Linked DNA regions of Macaca fascicularis. The protein of the gene in region 2 binds, or shares a complex with, the protein of the main gene of each other region. Links are inferred from orthologs where the notes say so. Each region holds a gene or a part of one and is shown on either strand. Other genes may lie near its edges. The genes, in order: CNOT6L, CNOT9, CNOT6 and CNOT2.

Evidence for each region.
Region 1: CNOT9 (region 2) and CNOT6L share a complex: the UniProt entries of both Homo sapiens proteins name them as parts of the CCR4-NOT complex. The link is inferred for Macaca fascicularis from reciprocal best matches to the Homo sapiens genes CNOT9 and CNOT6L.
Region 3: CNOT9 (region 2) and CNOT6 share a complex: the UniProt entries of both Homo sapiens proteins name them as parts of the CCR4-NOT complex. The link is inferred for Macaca fascicularis from reciprocal best matches to the Homo sapiens genes CNOT9 and CNOT6.
Region 4: CNOT9 (region 2) and CNOT2 share a complex: the UniProt entries of both Homo sapiens proteins name them as parts of the CCR4-NOT complex. The link is inferred for Macaca fascicularis from reciprocal best matches to the Homo sapiens genes CNOT9 and CNOT2.

Annotation. Positions count from the first base shown.
Region 1 is NC_088379.1:56,141,423-56,148,807, forward strand, and holds the end of CNOT6L (CCR4-NOT transcription complex subunit 6-like), read left to right. Parts: intron 1-2,299; coding exon 2,300-2,502; intron 2,503-4,024; coding exon 4,025-4,303; 3' UTR 4,304-4,485; downstream 4,486-7,385. UniProt on the Homo sapiens protein: Has 3'-5' poly(A) exoribonuclease activity for synthetic poly(A) RNA substrate.
Region 2 is NC_088386.1:114,517,253-114,525,309, reverse strand, and holds part of CNOT9 (CCR4-NOT transcription complex subunit 9), read right to left. Parts: intron 6,613-8,057; exon of another isoform or gene 6,506-6,612; intron 3,569-6,505; coding exon 3,470-3,568; intron 3,256-3,469; coding exon 3,164-3,255; intron 2,003-3,163; coding exon of another isoform or gene 1,957-2,002; exon of another isoform or gene 1,418-1,956; coding exon 1,249-1,417; 3' UTR 1-1,248. UniProt on the Homo sapiens protein: Component of the CCR4-NOT complex which is one of the major cellular mRNA deadenylases and is linked to various cellular processes including bulk mRNA degradation, miRNA-mediated repression, translational repression during translational initiation and general transcription regulation.
Region 3 is NC_088380.1:187,399,791-187,408,052, forward strand, and holds the start of CNOT6 (CCR4-NOT transcription complex subunit 6), read left to right. Parts: upstream 1-3,237; intron 3,238-3,507; coding exon of another isoform or gene 3,508-3,586; intron 3,587-3,696; 5' UTR 3,697-3,801; intron 3,802-8,262. Other genes in the region: uncharacterized protein, read right to left, coding at 2,078-3,237, 3,508-3,586. UniProt on the Homo sapiens protein: Poly(A) nuclease with 3'-5' RNase activity.
Region 4 is NC_088385.1:77,064,327-77,072,383, reverse strand, and holds part of CNOT2 (CCR4-NOT transcription complex subunit 2), read right to left. Parts: intron 6,004-8,057; coding exon 5,878-6,003; intron 4,050-5,877; coding exon 3,925-4,049; intron 2,998-3,924; coding exon 2,877-2,997; intron 2,776-2,876; coding exon 2,619-2,775; intron 1-2,618. UniProt on the Homo sapiens protein: Component of the CCR4-NOT complex which is one of the major cellular mRNA deadenylases and is linked to various cellular processes including bulk mRNA degradation, miRNA-mediated repression, translational repression during translational initiation and general transcription regulation.

The DNA.
Region 1 (7,385 bases), on a different chromosome or scaffold from region 2:
CCAAAGGTGTTGGCTGGTTTAAGGGAAACAAAGCAATAAATGATGCAGTACTCTGCCCCTAGGGGATATAGTAATAGATCTCTTTACCACTCCTGTACCTAAAAGGGAAAGTAGTGGGAGCTGTCTGTCATCAGAACTTGGAAAAAATACAGTTGTAGGAAAGGGCCACATAATAGGAGTGATGGCTTTGAATTGCATGAAGCAGTCAATCCCTGGCAAACCAACAAGAAGGGTACCAGGGGAATATATATTCTTACCTCACTCTGCTTCTGTCCTCTGATCTCCTGCCAGGCTGCCCATTGATCAAATCCAACCAGAAGCTAGAGGGGGGAGGGATTTGCAGTTGATGCAATAAAGATCAGCTTCCTGAGGCACAGAGTGTACTGCAGAAGGGTGATCTGAAGGGGCAGCCAGAAAATATTCATTACAGGTAGCTATCTAGTTTAATAATGTTAGCAACTTTTAAGTGAATTCATTAAGTGATATTTGGATACTGTTAGTAGGTACAGAAGAATGATTAAAATTATCGTAGGACTTTATATTACTTCTTGAGCTCCTCTAAACTACTTTATGTCTGAACTTATATCATTTTACTTTTTATAAAAATAGTTTCTGCATTTTAGGTATCAAATAGAAAACATTAAACTATTACTCTTTTGCTAATACCAAAGCATATGTTAACTTTTGTATATTATCACTACTAGGCTATTTTAAGTTATTTAAGTAAGTAACAATAAGGTTACTATAAGATAACCTAAATGCCTCCATTTGGAATATTAAAAAAGTCACTGAACGTGAAAACATCTTTTTCTTCTTAGCAAATAATGCTGAAATCATTGTTAATAAATATCTGTCTTTAACCCCTAGCCTGATTGGCACTTTAACCACATGCTCCTTTCTTAATCCTTTCTTAAGTTGAATTATTCTCAAGTGCAAGTTTTTCTCCCATTGTATTTGATTTGTTAAAGCCAGTTAGCTGGCATTTGGCAATACAACGTAGTGAAATGTCTTTGGTGCCAGACTGTCATGGTTGGATCCTGATTCTGCTACTTATGAACTATGCAATCTGTGACTAAGTTCCTCATTTTTCCTTTTATTTTTTTGTTTTGAGACAGAGTTGCGCTCTTGTTGCCTAGGTTGGAGTGCAATGGTGCAGTCTCGACTTACTGCGACCTCTGCCTCCTGGGTTCAAGCGATTCTCCTGCCTCAGCCTCCCAGTAGCTGGGATTACTGATGCATGCCACCACGCCCAGCTAATTTTTATATTTTTAGTAGAGATAGGCTTTAACCATGTTGGCCAGGCTGGTCTCGAACTCCTGACCTCAGATGATCCGCCCACCTCGGCCTCTGAAAGTGTTGGGAGTTTACAGGCGTGAGCCACCGCACCCAGCCTAGTTCTTCATTTTTAACAAGGGGGGAATCATGTTATCTACTTCATAGAATTGTTTGTGAGATTTACATGAATAAAGCACTTAGAACAGTGCCTGGCATGTAGCAAATACTAGGTAAATAATAGTGCCTTCTGAGCTATTTACAATACTGATAATTGTGCTTATCACACATTCATTATATCTTACTATCAATCCTTATTACAAATAGAAGGATGACTCTAATAATGCACTAATCATAAGGGTTTTGATACTGTTTTCATGTTTGCTAATTCAGTGGAAGCAGTGCACTTTTCTGAATGCTATTCTTCTCTTCAGCCTTGTATTTTTAGCCAAGTGGTATATTTCTGGCATATAATATTCTTTATAGTGTCAGACTGAGAAAACTCACTGTAGCTCAAAATAAAGAATGATACTGTCTAGCTGACACTAGACATTGAAATGTTAAAGATGCAAAATCTGTTTTTGTTGTAAACGTTTTTTATTAATATGTTCTACTTATATATTTGCAGAGTTGTTGCTTAGAATGGGAAAATGCTAAAGAGATAGTGGTTTGGAATAATTTTCCGAAAACATTTAGGGTTAATGCCTTCCTGGTGAATGCCATCCTAGGTCCTGGAAATTTTTGGCCTGAAGAACCACCAAGAAAACTAAGGATATCTTTGAGTGTTCCTGATATATTTTGTTCTGAAATAGGCAAACATCCTTTGATTCAATTGATTGAATCGTATGAAATGGCTGGTATTTGATTTTTTATTTTTAAATAATGACAAAAGGCAGTTTTATATGGTTCAATCTAAGAAAACCATTCTGAGCCTGGTGGATTAACCTGGTAACAAGTCTTGGCTGTGAAGCCTTGTGTAAGGTCTGAATGCTAAATGGGAGTGTCTCTTTTTTCTTTATTCTACCAGGTGTTGTGGAATACTTAAGCAATGGAGGAGTAGCTGACAACCATAAAGACTTCAAGGAACTAAGGTACAATGAGTGTCTTATGAACTTCAGCTGCAATGGAAAGAATGGAAGCTCAGAAGGGAGAATCACACATGGCTTCCAACTTAAGAGCGCCTATGAAAATAACTTGATGCCTTACACCAATTACACCTTTGATTTCAAAGTGAGTGGCAGCCTTTGGGCAGGTGTAGAAATTATTTCAGATACAAGCATGTAACAAAAAGGTGTAAATTCTTTATGATTAATTGTATAATCTTCAGGAATTTTTAGATTCTTAAAATGTCTAGGCTAAGTATGCACCTAGATATAAGTAGGTTCATTGGGTTTTGTGGCTATTGTCTTAAATTCTTCTTGCTCTCTCGTTTGTTTAGATTTTAAATAATATAATAACAAAAACTTTGAAATGCTCACTAGGTACGAGGCACTTGTCAAAGCACTTTGTATATATCAATATAGTTAACCCTCACCTGCTCAAACCATCCCTAACTTTCAGCAGTAACCTCCCTCCTGCCCCCGACAGAAAAGCACTGAATATAGCAAAACTCACTTTGAATGAATTTATGTAGTATTTTCTCAAGATTTTCTTTCTACCTTCCATTGATGTCTTAGTATCTTTAAATTTTCAGATTTCTTTTGGGAATGGGGTTAGAGAAGGTTGTACTTTGGTTCTATTTTATATCCATGTATTTGTACTAATATATTCCTAGGCAGTGGAACACTCTGAAAGAAAAAGACATTTTTTTGACAAATACACACAAAAAAATGGAAAGGCCGATTGTACAGGACCAGCTCTTCTTTAGAAAGACAGATTGTGGTGGCTTTATGTAATCTCTTTTCCAGTGCTAGTTTTCTGATCACTCTGTGTACCTGTGACTCTGCTATTGTACCTCTCTTTGACTTTCTGGCATTTCAGGCATCTATAGTAGAATCTTACACTATCTGGAAAAATCCAAGTGTTAGAAAGCAGTTTGGTATAAGAAGCCTAGCAGGAATTTAATAAAATGCCAAAGGAAATTTACAAATGGACTCCCTTACATCTCCAATAACCTTTTTCTGTTTTTGTGTGGGTTAGCTCCTTTCCAAGAAACAAATAGGAGGAGGAAGAAAAGGAATTCATGTGTTGTTACTAATCAGCTTTCATAATCATGAAGTGGAAAAAAAAGTGCTTAGAAATTGAATCTAATTTAGTATTTTTGCTATTAGAAAAGATAATTCAATCCAGCGATAGTTCATTTTGGCCCAGCCACTCATATGTAGTTATGTGCTGGTAAACATTTAATAATGAGCTTTTTGGGAAAAAGCTCTGATTTGTGGTGTTTGCCGATTTCTGTGGTTTAAGTACTTCTACTGTAGCAGAATCCAGTCTCCCAACACGATACCATTGAACACAGAGTTAGGAAGAGGTGCTAGAAAAGCTAGTACTAGCTGACTCTAGCACATCATTGCTTTTATGTAAGCTTAAAGGAACACCTTTTAATGGTACACAGTTTACCACAGCTTAAATCCTATCCTTGTAACTATAGTGATATATATCTGCCAGCGTAACCCAGAAAACCTGTGATAAAGTTCCTGAAAATAAGTGTTTAGTAATTCTGCAACTATCATTATTATTTAGGTATGTGTATAGGTAAAAAGAAAAATTTTTTTTTCTTTTTCACATAGACTTTTTTTTTTTTTTGAGATAGGGTCTCAGTTTGTCGCCCAGGCTGGAGTGCAGTGGCAGGATCTTTGCTCACTGCAGCCTCAAACTTCTGTGCTCAAGACATCCTCCTACCTCTGCCTCCCAGGTAGCTGGGACTACAGGTACACACCACCACGCCCGGCTAATTTTTTGTATTTTTAGTAGAGACAAGGTTTTGCAATGTTGCCCATGCTGGTCTCAAACTCTTGGGTTCAAGCCATCTGCCTACCTCAGCCTCCCAAAGTGCTGGGATTACAGGTATGAGCCACCGCACCCAGCCTAGACTTTTTTTGTTTTGAGACAGGATCTCGCTCTGTCACCTAGAGTGGCACAATCATGACTCACTGCAGCTTCACCCTCCTGGGCTTAGGCAATCCTCCCACCTCAGCCTCTTGAGTAGCTGGGACTACAGGTATGTGCCACCATGCCTGGCTAAGTTTTGTATTTTTGAGGGCTTTTTATTTTGGTAGAGACAGGGTTTCGCCATGTTGCCCAGGCTGGTCTTGGGGTAATTTTTGTAATTTGAGGGTTTTTTGGTTTTGGTAGAGACAGGGTTTCACCATGTTGCCCAGGCTGGTCTTGAACTCCTGGGCTCAAGCAATCTGTCCACCTCAGCTTCCCAAAGTACTGGGATTATAGGTGTGAGCCACTGTGCCCGGCCTAGACTTTTTAAAAGCTTATTTCTTCCTTGTCTGTAAATAAAAAAATCTGAGAAACACAATTTGGGACATTAATCTACCTTCCTTAGTCATCTGAATTGGTTTAAATTATTTATCGACAGTCCTTCAAAAGATCTTGTGTTAATAACTGAATAAAAAATCCTATTGAGCCATTTACGTTGTTCAAATAAGTACAGCTAAAGAACTAGAAATGTCTGGCTCAGAGAGTGTTTGATGTTTGGATGTATAAGAGAATCAGAGAGAAGGATAAAGGTGGGAGAGAGTAATATATGGGAAGATAAATAGGCTGGCTGGATAGATAGATGGGATGAGAGGATAGAATAGTATTTGAAGGAAAGATGGCTAGAGACTAAACTAAGGGCACACATGAGTAGAGAGAATTGAGCTCTTAGTCCAACAGAAAATGAACTTTTCAGTTTTATACATATATTTTGTAATGCTATCCCAATATTGAAATCTATCAGTAAAAGAAGATAGGTAACATCAAATGTAAAATACCTTGTGATCAGCATCGAATACAGATCCATTTGTATTAGTGAGGAGCCATTGTATCAGAGAGGTGTTAAATTTTGTTTCTTGGCTTAGTATTTGTTTACTTTCTTGGTCCTTGAACAAAATAGAAATGTAGAAAAGAGGTATTTAGAGCTCAGATTCATTTAATTGCAAACTGATTTGGAATGAACTGAAGAGTAAACAATTAGAAGAATTACTCCTTTTTCAACATTACTTTCAGACCAGGTAAGTTTAATAAACAGCTTAATTCAAACCTGCTGCTGATCCTCACCCCATGCTTATCCTCTAATCTGAGGGTGTGCCTGAATCATTTAATAAAAGGAAGGGCAGCTTTTATTTTATAGCAAATAGTAAACTTTTCTGTTACATTATGAAATTGGTATTGTAATTTTCTGGCATTCTTTTAAAAAACAAAGCTTAGCATAATGGTAACTCAGACTATTAATATTTTCGTTGTGTTTTGACTTTTTTCCAAATACAGTTCTATAGACTTATACAATAATAGTCCTTACTAATATAAAGAGTGCATTTTCCCACATTATTAGTATTATATCTTTTAAAAAAGAAACTGACTCAAAAGGGTTAAAAATCATTAGTCTGTAACCTCCTTTGTGCCTATGATCAAAGTTAGGGATCCTTCTCATAGGTGTATATGTACAAATACGTTGGGTGAATTCAGACATAACCTGGCTAAGGGTTTTGGTAAGAGTTTTTACTCCGGATATTTCAAACCAAGAGAATGATTACAAGTGATGCGTTCAATTAAAAACATCTTACTTCCTGGAGTGTTTAACATTTTTTTCTTGGGGCCTACCTTTGCAAAGAATTCTAGCAGTTGATGTGCATGATGGCACTCTAATAAGGTTGTAAGATATAGGAGGCTTTGTTGCCCAGGCTGGAGTGCAGTGGTGTATTCTCAGTTAACTGCAACCTCTGCCTCCCAGGTTCAAGCAATTCTTTTGCCTTGACCTCCCTAGGAGCTGGGACGACAGGTGCATGCCCCCAGACCCAGCTATTTTTTTTGTATTTTTAGTAGAGATGGGGTTTTACCATGTTGGGCAGGCTGGTAATGAACTCCTGGCCTCAAGTGAGCTGCCCGCCTCGGCCTCTGAAAGTGCTGGGATTACAGGAATCAGGCATGAGCCACTGTGCCTGGCCTTATAGGTTTTATTCCACATAAGTAATTGAGATTATTTCATGTGTTTTATTTTAGAATTGAAGCAAAAAGTTGTCTCATAAGGAGAAATAAAATTACCCTGATCCTTGTTAACTCATTTTCTGAAATATCACTGTAAAACTGTAAAACTAGGCATATAACCAAAATGAAGGGATAATACCTTATGATCCTATCATTTTTTGACCATTTAAACTTGGAGTCCCCTGGACTCATGTAAGTTCCTTAATTTGTGGTAAAGTAGGGTTGGATAAGGGCTTCTTTTCTTTTATTATTATTATTTTTTAAGAGACAGAGTCTTGTTGTCAGCCAGGTTGGAAAGCAGTGGGACAATTATAAGTAGCCTCAAACTCCTGGACTCAAGTGAGCCTCCTGCCTCAGCCTCCCAAGTAGCTGGGACTATAGGTGCATGCCGCCACACCTGGCTAATGTTTGAATTTTTCGTAAAAACCCAGGTCTCATTATGTTTAACCAGGCTGGTCTTGAAGTCCTGGGCTTAAGCCATCCTCTTGCCCCCGCCTCCCAAAGGGTTGGATTATAGGCATGAGACACTGCACCTGAATCTTCTCTCTTAGGAGAGGAGCAGTTTTGGTGTTTTGATATTGGTCAAATGAAAATCAACAAACTGAAATGATTGTGTCCAAAATCTCACAATATAAAAATTTGTTTTCATTAAAAGTTTTTGTGTTTTAAGTAGCCCGTTTCATTATAATACTTTTTAAAGTATTGGCTGGAACTCGTGTATAGTATTTGTAAATAGGTTTTTACAGGTGTAGAAATATTTCTCCCTCCTTGGGCTCAGGCTGTCCTGATACGAATAGGAACTAGATAGGAAGAAATTTGATTTTGCTCTCTTGCATACACAACCTGGGATAATAAAAGCCCCCTGGTTTTGAGACTTACTGATCAGACTAATCAAGTCATTTAGCTCTGAGAGATAAAACTGCTATGTATGGCTTCCTGCTGAATGATTTTTGCTGAGTTATCCTTATGCAGGA
Region 2 (8,057 bases):
GCTCCAGAGAAGAGGAAATCTCTGATACGGTAAGAACAAGTGAATATTTTAGCGGCAACCCTGTATTCCCATAGACCAAAAGAGAATGTGTCAAAAAAAAAAAAAAAAAAAAAAAAAAAGACTGAGTGAGCAGAATCCAGCCCTCCATCTTCAACCATCTTCAATTTGAATAAAATTAACTCATACGGCTAATACTGCTCAAGTATAATCACGAAGACAGATGGAGCTGCTGAAATTCACACTAAAACAAAGAATAGGATCAAGTGGATTGTCACCTTAATCCCAAGCACCTCCCTTTTAGAGTTATCGAGAAAGTATCTTTGAAAACTTGGATTGAATGTGAGGTCCACCACCGCCCCTTGTCCCTCAATACAATACCCTTCCAAGACAGCCTGATGAATTAAGACATCTGTTTTAATAGAAGGGAAGTTTTAAAAAGGGAAAGCACGGAGATTTGGGAAAACTAGCAGCTAAAGCCAGAAACAAGGTTAAGGTCCTTGTGGCATTCCAGACTGGAAGTAGAATGGGAGAAGGGAAACAGGTGGTAGGTTCCTGCTGTCCTTTGGCTTTACATCTTTTCCCTGCCCTCCCATTTCTCCCAACAGCTTGATGCAGCTATTGGCCTGCCAGAGGGGATGTAATGCCCAGACCAACTTTTTATTGAGCTTATGCAGCTAACAGACTTGTAAACAGTGCCAATTGACAAAGTTTTGCTGAATATTACAGCTTGTGCCCACTAAACACACCTCTCTCTGAGATTAAAAACAAAAAAACCAAAGTAAACAAATACTGAGAGAGAATGAAGAGACACATCTTGAGTCTTCCAGGAAGGCAAAATAAAAAACGCCACATGGCTTGGTCCCAGGCGTTCACCATGCCTAGAGTGCTGCTGCTATCACCACTGTCTCCCCTCCCTGCCAGTGGCTAGGTAGAGGTAGGGGAGAAGGGTCATCTTGGACATGCTGCAAATACAGCATTTGCTGGTGTTGACACCCTCCTGGGGCTGTGGTGGCAGACTGCTGTGTCAGGAGCCCATTTCCTGGGAGTAGCAGAGGGAGCCCAGGTCCTCAAGACGGCCTGAGATGGCAGCCCATGCACCTCAGCAGGGGTACCTTGCCCCTTTTCTCCAGTATGGTTCAGCATTGAGGTTGTCTATTCCCAGTCGGTGATAAAACCTGAGCTGTTTTTCTCATAGGTTCCCCCTCCTTTCCCCAATTTGGGGGAGTAGTGGGAGGGAACAGGGAAGGATCACTGAGGGGGCAGGGGGATACCCCTGGGATCGGTGACCTGGCCCTCTTGCAGGTTCTTCACCAGTTGTGCAAGCCAGCGTTTCGTGGTGGTGTCATCTTTTAGCACCTGGGCGAAGGTTGTGTCTTTCAGCTGGTCAGGGAGGCACTGCCTGAGTGCTTCACGTGCCCTACATCAGAAACAAACAAACCAACCAGGGAGACCAACAAATAAACCCACATTTTGTGGACAGGGAAGAGCCCCCTTCTTAGACATAAATATTTAGTATACCGTGAATCTATGGCTCCTTAAGACGCCATTAAAATTCTCTAAAGCTGTATTAGGCATAGGCTCACAGATCTCCAAAATCTGTATCCACAAACATTTTCTGAATGATGCCCCAATGTAGAATTTCATGAAAAAGCAAAATTAAAAGCTTCAATAGTTTACTTCCATTCAAACAGCTTTCTGATTTATTACAGTAAATACTGTCAAAATACTCATGTTAGAAATATATGGATTATGGCAAATAAAATATTTCAAAAATCAGTACATTAACAAGGATATAATCAAGATTATGATAACTTAATGAATTTTAATTCTATACTAAGTTATCAATTTGTGTCTTTACAGAAATTGCTTCAGTTTTATGGTTAAAAACCTTAATAAGAGATGAGCAGTGAAAACAAAACTATGGTAGCAGCATTATCAGATGAACTTTTAAACGTTTCATTTTCTTTGAAAAGATGACCAGCAGAAAGTCAAATCTGAAAACCTAAAAAAGGTAAATGTTAACTATTTATAGAGCTATTTTAAACAAAGTTATAGTTTTGCACTCAGACTAGTTTTCTTTAGAAACTAGTCTGACTAGTTTTTTAAACAGACTAGAATTTTAAACAGACACATTTTTAAACTTTGGTGAAAACAAGAACCACTGAAGAACAGGATAAAATGGTCAACAAACAGGTAGGGCTTGAATAAACTCAGTGGCAGGAGACCGAGTTCACATTAAATCAAATCAAGCTAGCTCTGCTCCCAAGAACACAGAAATCGCTCCATTATGTGGTTTAGCAGAATATGAGCAAGTTGCTTTCAGCATGAATTATGGATTTACAAAGCAAAAGGTCAAACATTTCTAAAATGCATTATATCTACAATGTATGATTTCTGGCAGAAAGATTATGAACATAAGCAGATAAAATAATTAGCTCAAGAAACTTATAGGAATCAAGGAGAGAACTGGAAATAGAATTCAAGAGCCCTCTGGGCTGTGTTCCTTTTTAAGAGATCTCTGAAAATATACTTCTCTTTCTGACCACATAGAGTAGCAACAGAAAATTCAAACAACAGGAGTAATGCATTATAAGGTTTCCCTTGGAATCGCCTAGACTCTCTGGAATTTCACAGTAGGATTGAGAGTTACAGTGAGAAGATGAAACTCTGATGGCTATTAAAATTCAGCATTTCAGATTTTTTTTTTTTTTTTTTTGAGACGGAGTCTCGCTCTGTCTCCCAAGCTAGAGTGCAGTGGCCCGATCTCAGCTCACTATAACCTTTGCCTCCCGGCTTCAAGCGATTCTCCTGCCTCAGCCTCCCGAGTAGCTGGGACTACAGGCATCCGCCACCACTCCTGGCTAATTTTTTTTTGTATTTTTAGTAGAGACGGGGTTTCACCATATTGGCCAGGCTGGTCTCGAACTCCTGACCTTGTGATCCGCCTGCCTCGGCCTCCCAAAGTGCTGGGATTACAGGTGTGAGCCACCACGCCTGGCCAGCATTTCAGATTTTAAAAGGAATTTAAGTTCTGTCTCAGACAAATTAAATGTAGTTATATCCCTACTTCCCTGTCCTAAAGACACAGGAGCTATGCCATGAGATTGGGAAACTGTTCAGCAGAGTATTTCCCTAAAGTCCTATACATCCTATCAGTGTTTACCTGGGGTTATCTGAAAGCCGAAGGTAACATCTCACTACATGCTTCAGCAGACGGGCAGAAGGCTCTTTGGATAGCTGCAGGACCATCTTACCCTGTTTCCCCCAAAATAAGGGGAGGGGTTGGAAAAAAACACACAAAACACAAAAAAATTCTAATTGACATCAGAGATCAGATAGTCCAAGAATCATAAAAGGTTCCAAAATTGTTATTTCTAGTCAGAAGACTGAAGTTGTTCAGTGCCAGTTATAAAGAGATTAAGCTGTGTGATGAGACGTAGTTGTAAAGGGGATAGATGAAAGAACTCACCAAGATCATGGCAACATGGGAGAAACGCTCATACGTCTGACATATATAAGCCAAACCAGTGTCATCTAACAAGATCTTCTGGAGGATGAATGTGGCAACCTGAAGCAAAACAAAATCGAAGAGTTTATGAAGTTGCTCAGATTTAATCTTCTCATTGTCTACTCATTTTCCCAAGCATGACTATCAGTCAGAAAATTGAGCAAGCAGGGATCCTTGTGTATTATGTACAACTTATCATATATGTATAGTACAAAGAATAATAAATATTATCATATTGAACATTACTTTGTACCAGTGTTTTTTTCTAGAGGCTTTACATGCTTTATCTTATTTTTATAATAAATCAATGAGGTAGGTACCATTATTATTCTCATTTTACATACAAGGGTAGGTTCTGCGTAATAATCAAATTCTTAAAAATCAGGAGACCTTCTCATTTATAGAGTACCTACTATGTGCCAGGTATAACTGTTAATCAATAATACACCAGGTTAAGGTCCCAAGTGACAAAGTTACTGTGGCAGAGCTGAGATCCAAGCCTCATTTGAATATCTAAGGCTCTTCTCTTTTCCATAAGCCAAGATGATTTATTTAGCTATGCCTCATCTCTTCCAGATGAAGTAAGGCCTTTCTTTTTTTTCTAGATGGAGTCTTACTCTGTCACCCAAACTGGAGTGCAGTGGCTCCATCTCAGCTCACTGCAACCTCTGCCACCCTAGTTCAACTGATTCTCCTGCCTCAGCCTCCTGAGTAGCTAGGATTACAGGCTCTTGCCACTGTGCCTGGTTAATTTTGGTACTTTTAGTAGAGACGGGGTTTCACCATCTTGGCCAGGGCTGGGCTTGAATCCCTTGACCTTGTGATCCACCTGCCTCGGCCTACCAACGTGCTGGGATTACAGGCGTAAGCCACTGCACTTGGCCAAGGTAAGGCCTTTCTTGTTCTTAAAAGATCTTGAAGAAGTAAGATTTTAAAGTTCCTCTTTGAAGATTATTCTAACAGCAATAAAACATATCCTGGCTGTGAAGCTTATACGTGGCCTCAATTTTTCCCTCAACTTAAGCTCATTAAGTCTTACATAGAAGAGATATTACATTAGTTTAATTCAAATCAGACAATCACGATAATGATACTCTTTCTTAGCTGCTCATCAAAATGAATTGTGGAATTATTTTACTATTTTATTGAGGTTATAACACTGTAGTAGGCTGAATAATGGCTCTCAAAGATATCCAGGCCCTAATCACCAAACTCTGCAAATGTTACCTTAAATGAACAATGGGACTTTGCAGATGTGATTAACTTAAGGATCTTGAGATGGGGGATTATCCCAGTTTATCTAAGTAGGCCTTAAATGTAATCATGAAGTGTCCTTAAAATCGACGTAGAGAAGGCCAGGCAAAGTGGCCCATGCTGGTAATCTCAGCACTTTGGGAGGCCAAGGTGGGAGGACTGCTTGAGGCCAGGAGTTCAAGGATGCAGTGAGTTATGATCATGCCACTGCACTCCAGTCTGGGCGACAGAGAAAACACCATCTCTTAAAAAAAAAAAAAAAAGAGAGAGAGAGAGATGTAGAGAGATTTTACCACAAAGGAGAAAGCAATGTGACAAGCAGAGAGAGATCTGAACATGCCACACCACTGGCTCTGAAGATGGAGGGGGCCATAATCCAGGGAATGCAAGAAATGCAGTTCTAGAAGCTGGAAAAGGCAAAGAAAAGACTCTCCTCTATATCCTCCAGAGAAAGCATGACCCCTGATACAATGACTTTAGAATGGTGAAACTCATTTATAACTTGTGACTTTCAAAACTATAAAACAGTAAACTTGCATTGTTTTAAGCCACTAAGCTTCTAGCTTGTGGTAATTTGTTACAGCAGCAGGTTATATAGGAACCTAATATAAACATATACACAGTAAAGTGTGTTAAGTACACTAATCTTAAGTGTTTCTTGAATTTTTACCTATGTACACATTATGTACTATAACCAGATTAAAATACAGAATATTGTATAAAATACAGAATATTTGGGAGGTGGAGGCAGGCGGATTGCCTGAGTTTAGGAGTTCAAGGCTAGCATGGGCTACATGGCGAAACCCCATCTCTACTAAAAATACAAAAAATTAGCTGGGTATGGTGGTGCGTGCCTGTTAGTCCCAGCTACTCAGGAGGCTGAGGCACAAGAATTGCTTGAACCCGGGAGGCGGAGGTTGCAGTGAGCTGAGATCACTCCACTTCACTCCAGCCTGGGTGACAAAGTGAGACTCTATCTCAAAAAAAAAAAAGAAAAGAAAAAGAAAAAAGTATTTCTACCAACTCATGATTCCAGCATTCCCTTGTACCTTTCCCCAGTCAATGTCCTTCCCTCAGAGATAACCACAAATCCAACTTATTGCCAGTAATTGGCTTTGCTTGTTCTTGAACTTCACATAATCAACATACAGTATGAATTCCCATGTGTCTGGCTTCTTTTGTTCAGCAATGCCTTTGAGAGTCATCCATATATTGTATATTTAAAATAAAAAGTTTAAAAATAGCCAGGTATAGGGATGTGTGCCAGTATCACAGCTACCTACTCAAGAGAGGGAAGTGGGAAGACTGCTTGAGTCCCGGAGTTCAAGGCTATAGTGTGCCATGATCATGCCTGTGAATAGCTACTGCATTCCAGTCTGGGCAAAATAGTGAAACCTCGTCTCTTTAAAAACAATAAATTGGCCAGGCACAATGGCTCATGCTTGTATTCCTAGTACTATGGCAAAAGGCAGGAAGATCCTTTGAGCCCAGGTGTTTAAGAGTAGCCCAGGCAACACAGGGAGACCTTGTCTCTACAAAAAATAAAAATAATTAGCTGAGTGTGGTGGAGCAGGCATGTGGTCCCAGCTACTTGTGAAGCTGAGGTGGGAGGATCACTGAATCTGGGAGGTCGAGGCTGCAGTGAGCCATGCCTCTGTACTCCAGCCTGGGTGACAGAGAGAGAGAGAGAGAGAGATCCTGTCTCAAAATGAATAAATAATTTAATTAAAAATTAAAAAACCAGTGCTCGCTTAGACAGCACATATACTAAAATTGGAACAACACAGAGAAGATTAGTGTGGCCCCTGTGCGAAGATAATACACAAATTCATAAAGCATTCCATATACATATTTTTAAAAGTAAAAAAAAACAAAAAAATCATTATATCCGCTTACACCCAACTCAAGAATATTTATTAGACTAAAAAAGTAATTTAATGTGACAAGGCACATTTTAGAGCAGAAGTTGAATACTACCAAAAATAGTCAGCAATATGGAAAAGAAACCTTGAAAAAAAATCAAATAATATGAAATTTAAAAATTGAAAGTGATTAGAGAAAAAAATACGAAAGACAGATAATAGAGCATAACATGTTGCTGAACCAAGAGGCTTGAACAAATAAAAGAGAAAAATATACAAATTAACAAAAAAGACACAAGTAATATGCTCTTTCAGAAAAAAATTGAGGCTGGGTGCAGTGGCTCACGCCTGTAATCCCAGCACTTTGGGAGGCTGAGATGGGTGGATCATCTGAGGTTAGGAGTTCAAGACCGGCCTGGCCAACATGGTGAAACCCAATCTCTGTTAAAAATACAAAAAAAAAAAAAAAAAAAAAAATTAGCCGAGTGGTGGTGTGTGTCTGTAGTCCCAGCTATGTGGGAGGCTGAGGCAGAAGAACTGCTTGAACCTGAGAGGTGGAGGTTGCAGTGAGTTGAGATTATATCACTCTGTCTCAAACAACAACAACAACAACAACAAAAACAAAAACAAATTGGCCCGGTGCAGTGGCTCACGACTGTAATCCCAGCACTTTGGAAGGCTGAGGTGGACGGATCACCTGAGGTCAGGAGTTCAACACCAGCCTGGTTAATATGGTGAAATCCCATATCTACTAAAAATACAAATATTAGCAGGGCGTAGTGGCATATGCCTGTAGTGCCAGCTACTTGGGAGGCTGAGGCAGGAGAATCGCTTGAACTTGGGAGGCGGAGGTTGCAATGAGCTGAGATTACATCACTGCACTCCAGCCTGGGTGACACAGCGAGACTCCGTCTCAGAGGAAAAAGAAAAAAGATACATGATTATCAAATGAACTTTAAAAATAATAAAAGACACTTGCAGGTAACCGCGCAAAAAAGTAAGTTCACCTAAAAAAGGAAAGAATTAGGCTGACCCTGAGACTTCTCTGCAATATTCAACGTTAGAAGACAAAAGGACTATGGCAATAGAGGTCTGAGACAGAACAATGAGGTAAGAATTCTGTACCTTGTCATGCTGTCATTCACGGTTAAAGTACATAGTAAGCAGAAGCTCAAGTACATATAATTGATTATGTCTTTAAAAAAAGTCTGGTTGGCCAGGCGCGGTGGCTCAAGCCTGTAATCCCAGCACTTTGGGAGGCCGAGACGGGAGGATCACGAGGTCAGGAGATCGAGACCATCCTGGCTAACACGATGAAACCCCATCTCTACTAAAAAATACAAAAAAATAGCCGGGCGAGGTGGCAGTCGCCTATAGTCCCAGCTACTTGGGAGGCTGAGGCAGGAGAATGGCGTAAACCTGGGAGGTGGAGC
Region 3 (8,262 bases), on a different chromosome or scaffold from region 2:
CTGCCAGTCACGAGGGGATTGCTACCTCTGGGTTTTGTTTGTTTTTTGAGACAGTCTCGCTCTGCCGCCCAGGCTGGAGTGCCATGGCGCAACCTTAGCTCACTGCAACCTCTGCCTCCTGGATTCAAGCAATTCTCACGCCTCAGCCTCCCAAGTAGCTGGGATTACAGGCGCCCGCCACCATACCCAGCTGATTTTTTTTGGGTATTTTTAGTAGAGATGGGGTTTTGCCACGTTGGCCAGGCTGGTCTCGAACTCCTGGCTTCAAGTGATCTGCCTGCCTCAGCCTCCCAAAGTGCTGGGATTACAGGCGCGAGTCCTTGCACCGGGCTGAGAGTAGCTGCCTCTGGCCATACAAATTACAAAAAGGCACCCAGGCTAGAGCACAGATGGCCAGGGCACTCACACAGGGAGGAGAGGCCTTGCAGGGTGTCTGTGCCACTGGCCTCTCAGCCTGGGATGCTCTGTACAACACAGGCTGCACGACTCCCTGCCTGGGGCGGAAGGAGGTTGTGCAGGGATGGCCACAGGCAGCCTGCTGGTCGGTCTGCATGTGTTCTTCCTGACTCCTGGGCTTTTGCACTGCCATCGTTGCCCAGTGTCCTATGGCCCTAGAGGCCTGGGCTGTCACTACTGATGCCATGGCAGTGCTAAGCAATGACCATCCCAAGGCCATGCTGGGGAGAGGGAGATCATCTTGATCTCTGAACAGCTTTTCCCTCATCCTTTCCTTGCCCTTCCAGCCAGGTCTCCTCCACCCCAGGCAACAGCAACCCATTTCCCACATCCCCAGCTCTCAACAGCCTTCAGTGACGCAGAAGCCTTGGTTTGCTGCTACGGTTGGTTCCTGGAACCTGTCTCACTCCCATTTCTTCAGGGTTGATTTTCCAGGAAGCAGTTAGCAGCCCATCCTACTTTGCCACATAGGTGGGCAGGCAGCTATTCCTTTTCCTTGACGCCATACCCTTCAGCATATACTTCGAATTTTTTTTTTTTGAGATAAGAGTTTCGCTCTTGTTGCCCAGGCCTGAGTGCCATGGTGTGATCTCGGCTCACCACAACCTTTGCCTCCCAGGTTCAAGCGACTCTCCTGCCTCAGCCTCCCCAGTAGCTGGGATTACAGGTGCCCGCCACCACACCTGGCTAATTTTTTGTATTTTCAGTAGGGAGGGGGTTTTGCCATGTTGGTCAGACTGTTTTCAAACTCCCGACCTCAGCTGATCTGCCCCCCTCGGCCTGTGCTGGGATTACAGGAGTGAACCACCGCGCCAGACCAATATACCTCCAGTAATTAAGTCTGTTGAGTGTTCTTCTTGCCCCTAGACTGTGAGCTTACTCAGGGCTGGGTGGGGTCTGATTCATCTCTGTGCCCTGACCATCAGTCAACTAATATTTCCTGATGTAAGCATCATGAATCAGCCCAATCATTTCTCTGCTCACCTTCAACCACCAGAGTCTGCCCCGAACACCTTTCGATCTTGGCGCACAGCAGCTGTTGTCCGTTACTCAGGCTAGGAGCCCAGCACCACACTGTCCATTAATGTACTGGAATGAATTACCATTCATGGACTGAAACGGTATGTTAACTTACTCTTTTTCTGCGTCATTGAGGAAGGAATAACATTCGCCTGCTCACGACTGATTGTCTTGTCTTTAGGCAGATCAAGATACTGGCTCCGGGCAAATACCTGTGTTTCGACGTGAATGACAGGCGAAGGCTTAAGGAAAAGGAAAAGGAGAAAAAAAGGGGAGGAGGATCAAGGAAGAGGGAAGAGAAGAGATAAAAGCGGACAACCCGGCCGGGCGCGGTGGCTCACGCCTGTAATCCCTGCATCTGGGAGGCCGAGGCGGGCGGATCACGAGGTCAGGAGATCGAGACCATCCTGGCTAACACGGTGAAACCCCGTCTCTACTAAAAATACAAAAAAAAATTAGCCGGGCGAGGTGGCAGCGCCTGTAGTCCCAGCTACTCGGGAGGCTGAGGCAGGAGAATGGCGTGAACCCGGGAGGCGGAGCTTGCAGTGAGCCGAGATCGCGCCCCTGCACTGCAGCCTGGGCAACAGAGCGAGACTCCGTCTCAAAAAAAAAAAAAAAAAAAAAAAAAAAAAAAAGGGGACCACCCGAGGCAGAAAAAGAAGTAGATGAAAAATGGAGGAGCGCTACAGAGAGGAGAAAACAGAAGTGCCAAGGCAGGAACGGAGCGGGGAGAGCGGGAACAGAAGGAGACCAAGGATGGACGGAAAGAGGACGGGGGAGGCCGGGAGCAGGGCCCGCAGCGCGCCGGGCCGGACCACCGTTCCTCAGCGCGGGGGTGAGGGGCGGGGCCTAGGCCGAGGCGGGCCGCAGCGACCCCCGCGCCGAAGGCCGGATGGTTGCGCCCAGCGACGGCGGCCAATGAGCGGCCGGGATGTTGGCGTGCCGGCGGCGGTCCGGGCGCTCGCTGGCTGAGGGACGGCGCCCGCCGCCATGATGCTTGTTTGCTTTCAATGAAAACGAGGGGGGCGCGGAGGAGGAGGCGTCGGCGTCGGTGTCGGCGGCGTCGGCGGCGCGGAGGCGAAGGCAGCGGCGGGCGCAGCGAGGCGGGCGAGGCCGGGGGCCGAGAGGGCGGGAGGGCGTAGTGGCGGCCCGCCGGGGCGGCTGAGGCGGGCGGCTGAAGCGGCGGCTCTCGGAGGGGGAACAAAGAGCAGCGACTGAGGCGGAGAGGAGCGGCGGCGGCGGCGGCGCTGCAGCAGCGGGCGGGACTGGTATGGTGGTTCCACAGGTCAGACCCCGCTGCGCTCACAGGGAGGAGGCGGCGGCAGCGGCGGAGGAAGGCGGCGCACCCCGAGAGGTGAGCGAGGCAGGCCCGAGGCCCGGCCGGGGCGCCGCTTCTCTCTGCGGCCGCGCACGGACCGCCCCGTCGGCCGGCCTCGGTCGCGGCAACTTGAGTTTCGTGGGCGGCGGGCTCGCCGCTCCCCGGCTGGCGGCTGTGGGGGGCCCTCGACGCGCCGCGATCCCGCCCCGCCCCGGGCCGCGCCCCCGAGCCGAGTCCCTGCCGGGGGGCGTTGATTGACGGCGGCGGGCGGAGGGGAGGGGAGGGGCCGGCGCCGGGCTCTGGGGTCCCGGCCGGTCCCGGCTGCCGTCGCCGGAGGAGCGAGTCCGTGGTCCCGGGACTCGGGGCCAAGACGGTGGCAACTTCGGAGGAGCGGCTCGGTGGGTGGTTCGCGTGTGGAACTTCGCACTCCGCGGCCGCAGTTACTGTCGAGCGGGAAACCCGCTGCTTACCCCCCCTAAAATGTTCTTAAAATGCAGTTTAACGCAGATTTTTGGGGGAGAGGACGGGGTGGATTACAGGTTAAAGAAGCACTTAGCATGCAGTGAAGAGATTTGTTTTATAGTATTGCTAAGGACTCGGAGATCGCGCTGGTTTCTAGAAGCAGTTTTCTCTGGGAACCCAAATTGCACCCCTCCTTTTTGTTTTTCAACACTAATCGTTATTTTCTTTGGAAACTTCCTTTGACTCTTTACCTCCTTCGCCTTCCGCGAGGAGCCTGCTAACCAACACCTGTAGCCTTCTGTTTTTAACTGTTACTGCCATTGACAACATCGTGAATGGTCATCTCGCTTGACCTTCTTGGATTTGTTGTTACTGTGTTAAGCTGATGTGTTTTAGATAATCTGCTTGAATTTGAGTTCCCATACTTACCTGTTTTCCAGGTGGATTGTCTCATTGTTAGTGCTGAATCTTCTTGCCTACTTGTATCTGGGAATTTAACTTTGAAGAGGAAGAGAGTGAATGTGAATAACTGAAAAAATAAAATAGTGTGTAGTAGCACTTTGTATTTTTTTACAATATACTAGACTTTCCCACTCCAGAACAGATTTGTAGGCTGTAGGAGTAGATGTGGGCCATTGATCAAAAGGGTGGCTTTTTTGGATAATTGCTGTTAAGACATTTATCACAGTCTTTAATTTATTTATTGTTTTTGAGACAGGATCTCACTCTGTCACCCAGGCTGGAGTGCAATGGCACAGTTCTTGGCTCACTGCAGCCTTTGCCTCCTGGGTTCAAGCGATCCTTCTGCCTCACCCTCCTGACTAGCTGGGACTACCGGCAGACACCACCACGGCTGATTTCTAAAGTTTTTGTAGAGTCTTGATTTGTTGCCCAGGCAGGTCTCCAACTCCAGAACTCAAGCGATCTTCCTTCCTTGGCCTCCCAAAGTGCTGCAATTACAGGCATGAGCCAACATGCCTGGCCATCACAGTCTTTAGAATGTTGTGACTTTTAGAGTAAAATTAGAATAAAAATGGCTTAATATCTTTAGATCTGTGATCTACTCCAGGTGTTTTGTTTTAAACAAAATATTTGAACAGCTGCTAATGAGAAAACAGACCTAGAAAGGTGGAGGTGACTTGCCCATGATACTGTAATTACGAGGGGAAGCACTGGGTTTGTGTGCATGTGAGAGCACACGAGTGTGTGACCTCATTGCTAGAGGTTTGTTCTTTTGGGAGGGTAGAGGGTATTTTAATGGTTAGAAGTTATTTCAGGTCACTTCTCAGTAGGTGAACGAGATGCTTAATGAAATGGTCAAAAAAGATTATGTAATTGCCAAGCATGATGGCTCACCATGTAATCCCAGCACTTTGGGAGGCTGAGGAAGGAGGATGGCTTGAGCCCAGGTGTTTGAGACCAGCAAGACCCTGTCTCAGAAAAATATGAAGTATTTAAAGCCTGTGATAACTGTCACAACGTAGTGAGACCCTGTCTTGATCAGTTTTTAAAAATGGTGACAAAAGACATAGATATTCTTGTGAGACTGACGATTTTCTCTGAAAGCCAATCATTAATTTCCATAGTGTCTTGATAGTGGTGATGCAGCCTAGGCAGCTCCTTTTGAATATGCCTGTTCAATTTGTAGGTATTTTCAGGTTTCTTAAATGTTGTTGGCAAAGTAAAACTACAATTATTGGGAAATTTCAAACTGTTTTCTTTTGAGCAGACATAAGGTTGGTTTATAGAATTTGGTCCTAACTACAAATGTGTAAAGGCATTGTAGGAATTTGCCCACTGTACCTGTAGTTTAAAAGTATGCATTTTATGCCAGGTGCGGTGACTCACACCTGTAATCCCAGCACTTTCGGAGGCCGAGATGGGTGTATCACCTGAGGTCAGGAGTTCGAGACCAGCCTGGCCAATACGGTGAAACCCTGTCTCTACTAAAAATACAAAATTAGCCAGGTGTGGTGGCGCATGCCTGTAATCCCAGCTATTCAGTAGGCTGAGGCAGGAGAATTGCTTGAACCCGGGAGGCAGAGATTGCCACTGCACTCCACCCTGGGTGACAAGAGTGAAACTCAGTCTCAAAAAAAAAAAAAAAATGCATTTTGGTTAATGCTTAGACATTCCAGTACCCATATTTGCCTTCTTATATTCTTTAAAGCATAAACCTTTTTCGTGGTGCAACAGAAAAGGATAATATATGTAAGACATACTGAAATAAATGTTAAGGCAGCTCACAGCTATATTCGTTGGGCCATTAGGGGTGAGGGATCAATATGTTCAGCACATTTAGAACCCATTCCCATATGTAAGTAAGGTCCACTGGTTTGGGAAGCTCTGCTTTAAAGCATTTATCACTTTGGAAAAGTCCTAATAGGCTCAGCTAAAAATGTATGTTTTACTGGGAAAACCAGAGTTGGATTTGTAGATATCTTTATACCCATTACTCAAGGTAGTCATTTTACAACAAAGTGTGATTAATAAAACACTATGTATCTGAAATTAAGAATGGCTGAGGCTGGGTGTGGTGGCTCATGCCTTTAATCCCAGCACTTTGGGGAGGCCAAGACAGGCGGATCACCTGAGGTTAGGAGTTCAAGACTAGCCTGACCAACATGGAGAAACCCTATCTCTACTAAAAATACAAAATTAGCTGGGCGTGGTGGCACATGCCTGTGATCCCAGCTACTCGGGAGGCTGAGGCAGGAGAATTGCTTGAACATGAGAGGCAGAGCCGAGAGCACACCATTGCACTCCAACCTGGGCAAAAAGAGTGAAACTCCGTCTCAAAAAAAAAAAAAAAATTGTGAATAAACTGTAAACATATACTGTATGCATAGCTGGGGTGCATTAGAGTATAATGGAATGTACTGTATTTTGGTACTTGAATAAGTAGCGAGGTTGGGGGTTATTTGATCCAAGATGGGGACTCATTTAGGCTGTCTTCACTTTACCCTTCTCTGGTCTTTATCTCTCCTTCGTCCATTTATATTTTCTTGGTAACTTAAGTTACACGTTAAGGTATGTACTGGTCACAGTGTTTGTTGTTGTTGTTGTTGTTGTTGAGACGGAGTCTCGCTCTGTCGCCCAGGCTGGAGTGCAGTGGCGCCACCTCCACTCACTGCAAACTCCGCCTCCCAGGTTCAAGCCATTCTCCTGCCTCAGCCTCCCGTATAGCTGGGACTACAGGCGCCCGCCACCGCAACCGGCTAATTTTTCTATTTGTTTAGTAGAGACGGGGTTTCACCGTGTTAGCCAGGATGGTCTCGATCTCCTGACCTTGTGATCCGCCCGTCTCGGCCTCCCAAAGTGCTGGGATTACAGGCGTGAGCCACCGCGCCCAGCCAGTCACAGTGTTTTAACACTGAGAATTCAAAGACAAATAATACTCTGATTTTGCCCTCTCATAGCGTATAGGCTTAATAGGTGCACAGAGTGCTGTGGGAGAACGCAATAGAGAATGATTAAACTTGCGGAGGGTGTGGGGGCAGTTTACGAAAAATAACACTGAATAGGATTTGCCAAACTGGGGAGAGGGAGTCGTGTTAAACAGAAGAAACTGTGGGTACACTGAGGTGTCAAGTGTTAGGGTAAGACTAGTGATAAGGTGTTATTGGAACAGTGGGCATGACTCGAGATGAGCCTGCAAAGGTGTGTCTGGTCTAGATTTTGAAGGACCATGCTTGCTAAGCTAAAAGTGAAGTTTCTACCTGTATCTTACAGCAGAAGAGAGAGCCAAAATATTTTTAGCAGGGGAGCAAGGTGATTTAGAGATCACTTTGGCATCCCTGTGGAGAATAGAGTGGAAGCCGTACAAGTATATATTTGAGGTATTATGGAGTTAGTGACTTTGGATCTATTTTTTCTTTTGGTTTTTCTTTCTTTTTTTTTTTTTTGAGATGAAGGCTCTCTCTGTCACCCAGGCTGGAGTGCAGTGGCATGATCTCGGCCCACTGCAACCTCCGCCTCCTGGGTTCAAGCCATTCTCTTGCCTCAGCCTCCCGAGTAGGTGGGATTACAGGCTCCTGCCACCATGCTGACTAATTTTTTTGTATTTTTAGTAAAGACAGGGTTTCACCATGTTGGCCAGGCTGGTTTCAAACTCCTGACCTCAAGTGATCTGCCCGCCTTGGCCTCCCAAAGTGCTAGGATTACAGGCGTGAGCCACCGTGCTCGGCTTGGATCTATTTTTAACTTGGATATGGTGTCTCCTGAGTCTGTGGTCCCTTAAGGGACTTTAGGGCTATGCCCAGTTGCTGTATAATACAGGGTCATTTAAAATCAAAATGTCAGTATGTTTTGGAAGAAGTTAAAAACAGTCAAAGCAATGAAAATCATAAAATAGTACTCATGAAAGTTCAGGTGTTGAGAACACTTGTCTTCTGAGTTAGGCTTAGGCAGGCTATAAACCTTAAGCTGGAAGATTCAACCCTATGCCCAGTTGAAATCAAAGCCACCAAGCTTAAAAAGTTATCAGTATCCTGATGGTTTGCTAGGATATGCATTGTAAACATTTTGTGAAATTTTGGGATGACAGTTTCCTCTTTAGTAAATTATTGGAATAGTGAGACTAACTTAAGGTCTAAGAAGTTCTCATACAACTGTTAATTTATACAGTCAGTTTGCTGTAAAGCAACATACAGGTTCCTAAAAAATCACTCCTTTGCATAATTGTACAGTAGAAATGACTGACAAATGGGGTTGTCAGTGACACATTTAAAAAAGGAAGCTTTATCAGTGACACATTTAAAAAAGGAACCTGGTAAAAATGATAGAACAGTTTTACACGTGTTGAATGGTTAAGAAATATATAGATACTGTAATAAATGTGGCATTTTGCCTTGAAAAGGCCTGGTTTGCTTGTGGAAAGGGATGTCAGAAAGGTTGCTGCTTGTGAGTTACTGTGAAGTGGTAGAAGAATTACCTATAATCAGATGGAAGGTTGTAACACCAGAAGCGAATAGGTGTGGCCCTTAACACGTAGTGAACTGACTTAG
Region 4 (8,057 bases), on a different chromosome or scaffold from region 2:
ATAGGGTGGTCAATTAGGTTTCATTAAGGTGGTCAGATCTGAAGATTTGAAGGCTATGAGGGAGATAATCATATTAATTATCTGGCAGAAGACTCTTCTAGTCTGAGGGAACTGCTAAAGCAACTAAGGCAGGGACATGACTGACATGTCTGAGATACAAGGTGGCCAGCGAAGCTGGAATACAGTGAACAAAGGGAAAAGCTGTTGAGGTGGGGTTAGGGGACAAACAACAATCATGTAAGACCTTGTAGGCCTGTAAAGATTTGGGGTTTCTGGTCAGGTGCAGTGGCTCACACCTTAATTCCAACACTTTGGAAGGCCAAGATGGGCAGATCACTTGAAGTGAGGAATTTGAGACCAGCCTAGCCAACATGGTGAAACCCTGTCTCTACTAAAAATACAGAAATTAACTGGGCATGGTGGCACATGCCTGTAATCCCAGCTACTCAGGAGGCTGAGGCAGGAGAATCGCTTGGACCTGGGAGGCAGAGGTTGTAGTAAGCCAAGATAGAATCACTGCACTCCAGCCTGGGCAACAAGAGCAAGACCCTGTCTCAAAAAAAAAAAAAAAAAGATTTGGGGTTTTTAATCATAATGAAACCACAAACTCTTTCTGGGTGTTGAGCAGAGGAGTAATTTATTTAAAAAGGACTCTCTTGGCTGTTATATGAAGAGATTGTATGAGAAGGGGGATAAGGACAATCAGGGACCCCCAGGGACTGGCTAATGGAGTATTCAGGCAAGAGAGAATGATTCAAACAAGGGTGGTAGCAGTTAAAAAGTAGTGAACTTTGGTCAGATTCTGTATATATTTTGGCAAAAGCCTGATTATGGGGTATAAAAGAAAGAGGAGTTAAGAATAATGTCAAGCTTCTGGAAGTACAGAGTTACCACTGACTGAGATTGGAAAGGCTGTAGACAGAGTAAGTTGGGGGGTGATAATTCAAGAAATATTTAATTAGCAATTGAATGTAGAAATCTCACACTCAGAAGTATGGAATGGAAACATATGTTTGGGATTCCTTAATATATATGGTATTTAAAACAATAAGACTAGAAAAGACCATCAAGGATCTAAATGCAGAGAAGAGGAATGACACAAAGAGGTCAAGAAGAAAAGGAGGAGGTACCAGCAAAGGAAATTGAAAAAGACCAACCAGTGAGGATGATGTAAAAAATGGTGCTCTCAAATTCAAGGATGAGAATGTGTATTAAGGAGCAAGAGTTCCTCCAAGTGATCACTGAATTTAATAACATAGAGGTCATTTGGTGACCTGAATAAAAGCAGCTTTAGTGAAGTGGCAGGGACAAAATCCTGACTGAAATGGGCTTACCAGAGAATGGAGAAGACCAAGTTGGAGGAATTGAGATGATTCTTTGAAAAGTTTTGCTTCAAAGGGAAACAAAGAAATGGGAAAGTAACTTACAGAGGAGATTGGATCAAAGGAAGATTTTAAGATGAGAGAAGTAACAATGTATTTCTATGTTGATGAAAATGACCCAACAAAGTGTGAAAATCTGTTGTTAAGTAGAACGCATGGGTCAATTGCAGTAATAGGGTGGAAGACAAGAATAACGTAGATGTAGATGGCTGTAGGTAGTCAGATTTGGTGGCTAGATTGTGCTAAATGTGCTCTTCTAATTGCTTCCAACTTTCTTAGGACAGTAAAAGTAAAAAGCAAGGTCATCATTTGATAGTAAGAACAAGGAGAAAAGGTATTAGGGGTGTGCAGAAGTGTATGTAATTGCGTAAGAGAGAAAAGAGTAAATGGACTAAGCATGCAAGGTATAATTATCCCTGGTAGAATTAAGAGCCTACTTTTGAGGTTCCTGGGTACGAAAATAAAGGAAGCCCAGGCAGTGATACCATGTGTTTTTCTCTAGCAGGGCTCAGTAGCACAGGTCAGGAATGAAATAGGCAGAAACAACCAGTACTGTAGCTTTGGCCATGCAAGTATAACAACATGAGAAAACGGCAAAGTAGTCACGGGATATGTAAATGAACAATTACGACTGACCACAGAATTTCATGGGTAAGAAGGGAGTTGATTACAGAGGAAGAGAGACAGGGATATGGAAGAACAGTTAAAACACAGAAGAATCAATAGATTGAAGGCCCCGGTGGAGTGAAATGATTACAGGAATTACAGTACCAGAAGAAGATAACTAGAAAATAGAAAGTGGAAATCGGAAAGCATGTGAGCACAGATTTTAAAATTGAGAGACTGCAGTTACTAACAATGACTAGGTCAAAGGGATAACTAAAGGAGTGGCTGAAGTATACTACAGGACAAAAATTCCTGGAGGAAAGAAATTCAAGGAGCTGAGATTTCAGGATTGTGGAAGGTGTGTGTATATATATACACATACATACACACACACATATACATACTTGCACATGCACACACATGCACACACACAGACATATAAAATGCCAAATTATAAAAGGAATACTGCAGAGTGCCAGTGATCTAAGAGCTAATATGCAAGCGAATGACCCAGAGAAAAAACAGATTACAATGAGTAGCAGTAGGTGAGACAATTTGATGACATGATATTAAAAACTGGAAGTCTGAAGAGGTATTATATACAGACATGAAAAAACAGAAAAAACTTACTCAGGAGAGTTCAGATTGAGGCCTAATGTTGTTAAGTCACTTCCTAATGCAAGATGTACCATTCCTGGGTCTGTCTCTGCTGCCCTGATAAATGTTAACAGGCCAATCATTCCAAATTGGTCCGTCACCATCCCTTGAGGAATGTTAGTAACCCGACCTGGGTAGAAAAAACACAGTTGCTTTTATTTTCAAGGAAAAGTTAAAAAAAAAAAAAAAAGCATTCTATAACATCTTTGACATAGATTTCTAGAGTCCCACCATCAGGTAACACCTGGATCCCTTTTTTCTGCTGGTTATTATTTTGTGTTGTTGAACTTTTATCTCCAGGGAATTTGGGTCCATCTGTACTTGAAGTTGTCTTGCCAGATGTATTCAAATTCTAGCATGAAAAAAATTAAATGTGACATTAAAATTTGTTAAGTATACAAAAAAGTTCACATATTAATACCTTGCTATTCATTCTTTATTATATTTAAATTGGTAGTAAATTATTACCTGTTTTTCAAGTTCTATAGAAAATTGTTTCCATCATTGTTCCATGGTATACAAATAAATCCTATATCATCCACATTTGAGTATTTAAAGAAAAAGAAATCAAGGGAAAATATTCTTATTTATCTCAGATCTTCAGTCACAGAAAAAAAAAATCTATCTCTTTCTCAGGTCTTTATGCTTTGGGATACACTTGAAGTTACACTCCTCAATGCTTTCATGTAAAAGAGAAACTAAATACAGTATATTACCTAAAATCACCAAAGCTACCTCCAAGATAAGTTAGAACATATAAGCTTTAAAACTTTGTACTTATTCTAATTCTTACCAATCTTCTTTATCAATTATTTTAATAATATATAAACTCCCATCACACACACAGAAAAGCTATTTTCAGTGAAATGTGGAAGAAATAAACATATTTGTTAAGTCAGAAAGAAGAAGCTGAGTTGGCTGAATCAACACAGGTATAAAAATGTGTATAAATTCTTCAAGGAGAAAACTTACTCAAGAAAAACACAGCTCCTTAGAAGGCTATATTATCAAACTTCATGGGATCCAGCTGACAGGGACTACAATAAAAGTCTAAATTAACTCTGAGAAGTTCAACAGAAATTTGCAAACCTATATGAAATAGGAAAAAAATAGGCTATCTTCTAAGTTATAAAGCTTTTCCACATTCTTCAGAAGTTAGATTATTACAGATATCAAGATAAAACAGTTTTGTAACAGTATTTAGTAAGTAACTGTTAATATAAGAGAAATCTGAAGGGAAAAACTACATCACTCACTCACATAGTTCTCAGTTACTTACAGATTTACTGTCATCATTACTTGATGTTGGATCTTTATAGCTGGAGCCTGGTAATGCTGGAAAATCTTCATTGTGTATTGAGAAGTCCTGGGATTGTTCATTTGCTGGTTTTGTTACCATTCCAACTATGTAATGAAAATAATCCGGAGAATTGCAATTGATACTTATGATATTTTGCTACAGATTATAAAGTTAACTTTCCTCATGATAATACACCAAAAGTTTTCTTTTTTTTAATGCTATGAAAGCGTACTTCAAAAAATTAGTATCCAGGGTAACAATGAAGAACTAAATTTTCATTTACTGATTAATAACTCAACATACAAAATAATACAAGGGAAATCAATAGTAATCCTGTACATCTACTGTCATGCGTAGGTGCTTAAAAATTTAATTTGATATTGGATTAATTATTAACAATTTTGGTTTAAAAGCTTGTTTTATTTAAATATTTGACTAGATATAAATACCAGTTAACTGTCAAATACAAATGAACAAAATAAAATTTAAAAGAATATGTCAGTATTCTACTTGAAAGCGACTTACAGAGTGAGCAAATTGCAATCAATTATAAAACAACTCCATATTATTTCAGATTTTCTTGGACTCCATGTTATAGATGTAAAACATGCAAGAACTGGGAAATAATCCTCCCACTATACTTGGCATTAGTCGGGCCCTTATTGGAGAACAATATCCAGTTTGGGGCTCCACAATTCAAGAACGATATGGAGAAACTAGAGATGGTCCAAGGAGAGCAACGGGAATGATTAAAGGGATGAAAAAATGGACCTATGAGGAAAGGTTAAAAACATTAGAGTCTGAACTGAGAATCAAGTAGCTAGGTACTCAACTTCCAGGGCAGATCATTTTTTCTTTTAATTTTGGGGAGACTAATTTGGAAACTTTAGAATATAAACAATACATTTTTCCCTTCTTCATATACTGTTATTTGTATTCATATCTGAATGGCACAGAAATCTTTCTTGGTTGAAAATGTGATCAAATATTAATTCTATCTTAAAATAATGGATGAACTGATTCTTTTAAATTCACCGTTTTGTTACTGGTCTCTATCAGGTTTTCCCAAAAGAAAAAAACTATGTGATAAAAACAGTATAGCCACATTGCTGTCACAGAATTTTCATGCCCAAATTGTTACACTGTTATTGCATATGTTTCCCCTCCTTTATTTCTGTTTATCCCTGATTAGCCAAATCTCTTATCTATTAGAGACAGTGAAAAAGGGTGATGAAGGATATTAATGGAGACCAAGAGTCTGCATAAGCTATACATGACCCATGAGCAATGGTTTTCAACAGGGGACAATTTTTTTTCCCCAGGTGACATCTGCCAATGTCTGAAAACATTTGTGTCTGTCACAATAGAGGCTGTGGGGGTTGGAAACAGAGAGTGCTACTGGCATCTTGTAGGCCAAGGCCAGGAATGTTGCTTAGCATTCTATATAAACACCACAGCCCCCCAGATCTCCTCTCTACAAAGAATTACCTGGCCCAAATGTCAACAGTGTGGAGGTTGAGAAACCTTGGCTCAGAAAAACATCTTCAATGTATAGTCAGTCATTATTAATCACCAGGAATATATTCTTTTGAAAAAATGTGTGATCAATTAAGGAGAGAAAAGGCAGACCACAAAAATAAATCACCTAAGGTAAACTAAGGCAGGGATAACAGAAGAAAATAACTTCTGAATACCAATGAGGACTTCCTCTTGGGTTTTTGTACAAAGTTTTCCCATTTAACTTTGCTACCATGGTATTCTGGGAAGAAAAATCACTTTTAATATATCAATTCTGAAAAAATTACACTAACCTGATTAGAAAATGCAAACATATACGTATACACAAACATATGTATATGTACATGTAAATGCATGTGTGTGTGCACATACAATGGAAACTTCCCACTGGTCATCATGAAAAAGCTTAATTACCATAAGGAGCTCTTCCAGCCAAGGGGTTTATTAATGGAGTTGGGTTACCACTTCCTTCCCTTCTGTTTCGGTCTGCTAATGCTGGGAAATCTGAAAGGTCCAATCCTGTCACATTTTCACTTCCGTCTAAATAATAAGAACGAACACTGGTTACTGATTCTACAAATATTTTTAAGAGACTATAAAAACCAACTATAATATAATTAGAAATGATTGTGCTTTCTTCCTAAATAATGCACAGCACTGTACAAGGTGTATGTAGCTGCTCAAAAGATACTTGCAGATTGATTTCATGTCAAAGAATTTCATGAACAATTTAGCAAAGCAATACGCAACCAGCATAATAAAAACCCCCAAATCCTAGAGATATAACAAAGAGAAGAAAAAGCATATATTTCCCCCGTGGAAGATGGTAACCTAAAATTATAGTGTGTGAGCTAACAAGAGGGAGACTGTTATGATATAACTGGTCTTTTCATTATGCTCAGATGGAGGTTGTATCTAGAATGCTTGAAGCTTCGGTTACACACAAATGGTGACAATGATAGTGCCTCCTGCAAATGGCCAGAAAGATAGCTGAGACACAGGCAGTGACGCAGAAGCCCTGAGGACTTCCACCTGTAATTGACTGCGTTCATATACAAATGTGTGTGCACACGGGTGCGGTACAAAAGGGTAGCAGTAGGGTTCCCATATATGGTAAATGGGTTGGAAATATAGAAATATGATACAAAGCCCAGAAGTTTATATTACCTATTACACAGTAGGCGCTCAATAAATATATATAGAATAAATTAAATGTATTTTTGTTCATTTTAAGTTAAAACAATCAGCTGGCTTCCTTTAAAAATTAAAATTTAACCCAACTTCTCTACTTTGTCTATTTTAATCATCTCAATTTCTTAACTTTTTAGTATTCTTATAACCTTGTGTTCTTAATTTTTGAAGAAAACTTTCTACCTTCCTTTTAGCCTGCGCTATAGCTTTTCTTTAATTTTTGTTTCACCATTTTCAGTTTATTTTGCCATTTCCCAATTAATTTTTAGTTTTCTCCAAATTTCACAATTGTAAGAATCTCAAACAGCAAATGTTATCTCAAGATTACTTCGTTGACAGAAAAACAACAGACACCATTAATTTATTAACATTCAAAGACAGGTGACAATTTCAAATTACAAGGGTAAACGATAAATCATTCATACCTGCTGTTTACAAAAACTGCAGTTTATAAATTTATTTCTGCAGTTTAAGAACTTCGAATTAAAAAATTATCATTAAGACAATAGAAATTAAGAATTTCTATCCTGCTTCAATTTATAATTTCTCAAATTCTTTGATTATAAGTTAATTATACATTTTGAATATATATTAACTTTTAATACATATCTTTAGGTCCTCCAAGATGGAATTTAAATTTGCCATATATTATTTGAGACTATGTTTTAACCTAAAAAAGTTAATCAACCCCCAATCTATATTTTTAGGAAAGAACTGGGCATTTTCCTAGCATAAAATACGCTTAGTTAAAACAGAATTTAAAAAATAATTCTCGTTTTACAGCACTGTATAAAACCATAATGCAGAATCTAAGATGGCACTGTCAGACATCTTTACTTGTTACTTTACGTCACATTTAGGAAAAAAAAACTACAACTAAATTACAGTTTGCAGATGCAGCCTGATTTCAAAGACATTAAAGTATGAAGAAATGTACATTTTAGAAACAATGGAATATACTATTTCATTCTACATCTTGAACACAAGCTACCACTTACAAATGCTAAAATTTGGAATCTTTTTTCAAAGCTTTTAATCTTGTGTGATTAATCTGTGCTGCTGAGCATACATTAACATTTAGAAATTAAAAGCTCATAGCTACAAATGACATTTCCTTATTAAATCTTCTCTCCCCTCTACAAGCGCTCCATTTCAGTGAGCATTCTTTTACCTTTCACTTCCTTTACACTTAATTCTCTCCCAATTATGCTGTTCATTTTTGCTCCTATGATCATAACATCCTTTATTTCCTTTCTCAGGAAAGGGTCAGTAGGGTGGAGAGGGTAAAACCTAAAGCAAAATAGCAACAAAGCTTCCTGTTCTCTTCTATCTGAAGCAGTTGATAAAAGAAATAAACCAAAAGACTGCAGGAATTTTTTACTGTCAAAATCAGAGTTGGTTTT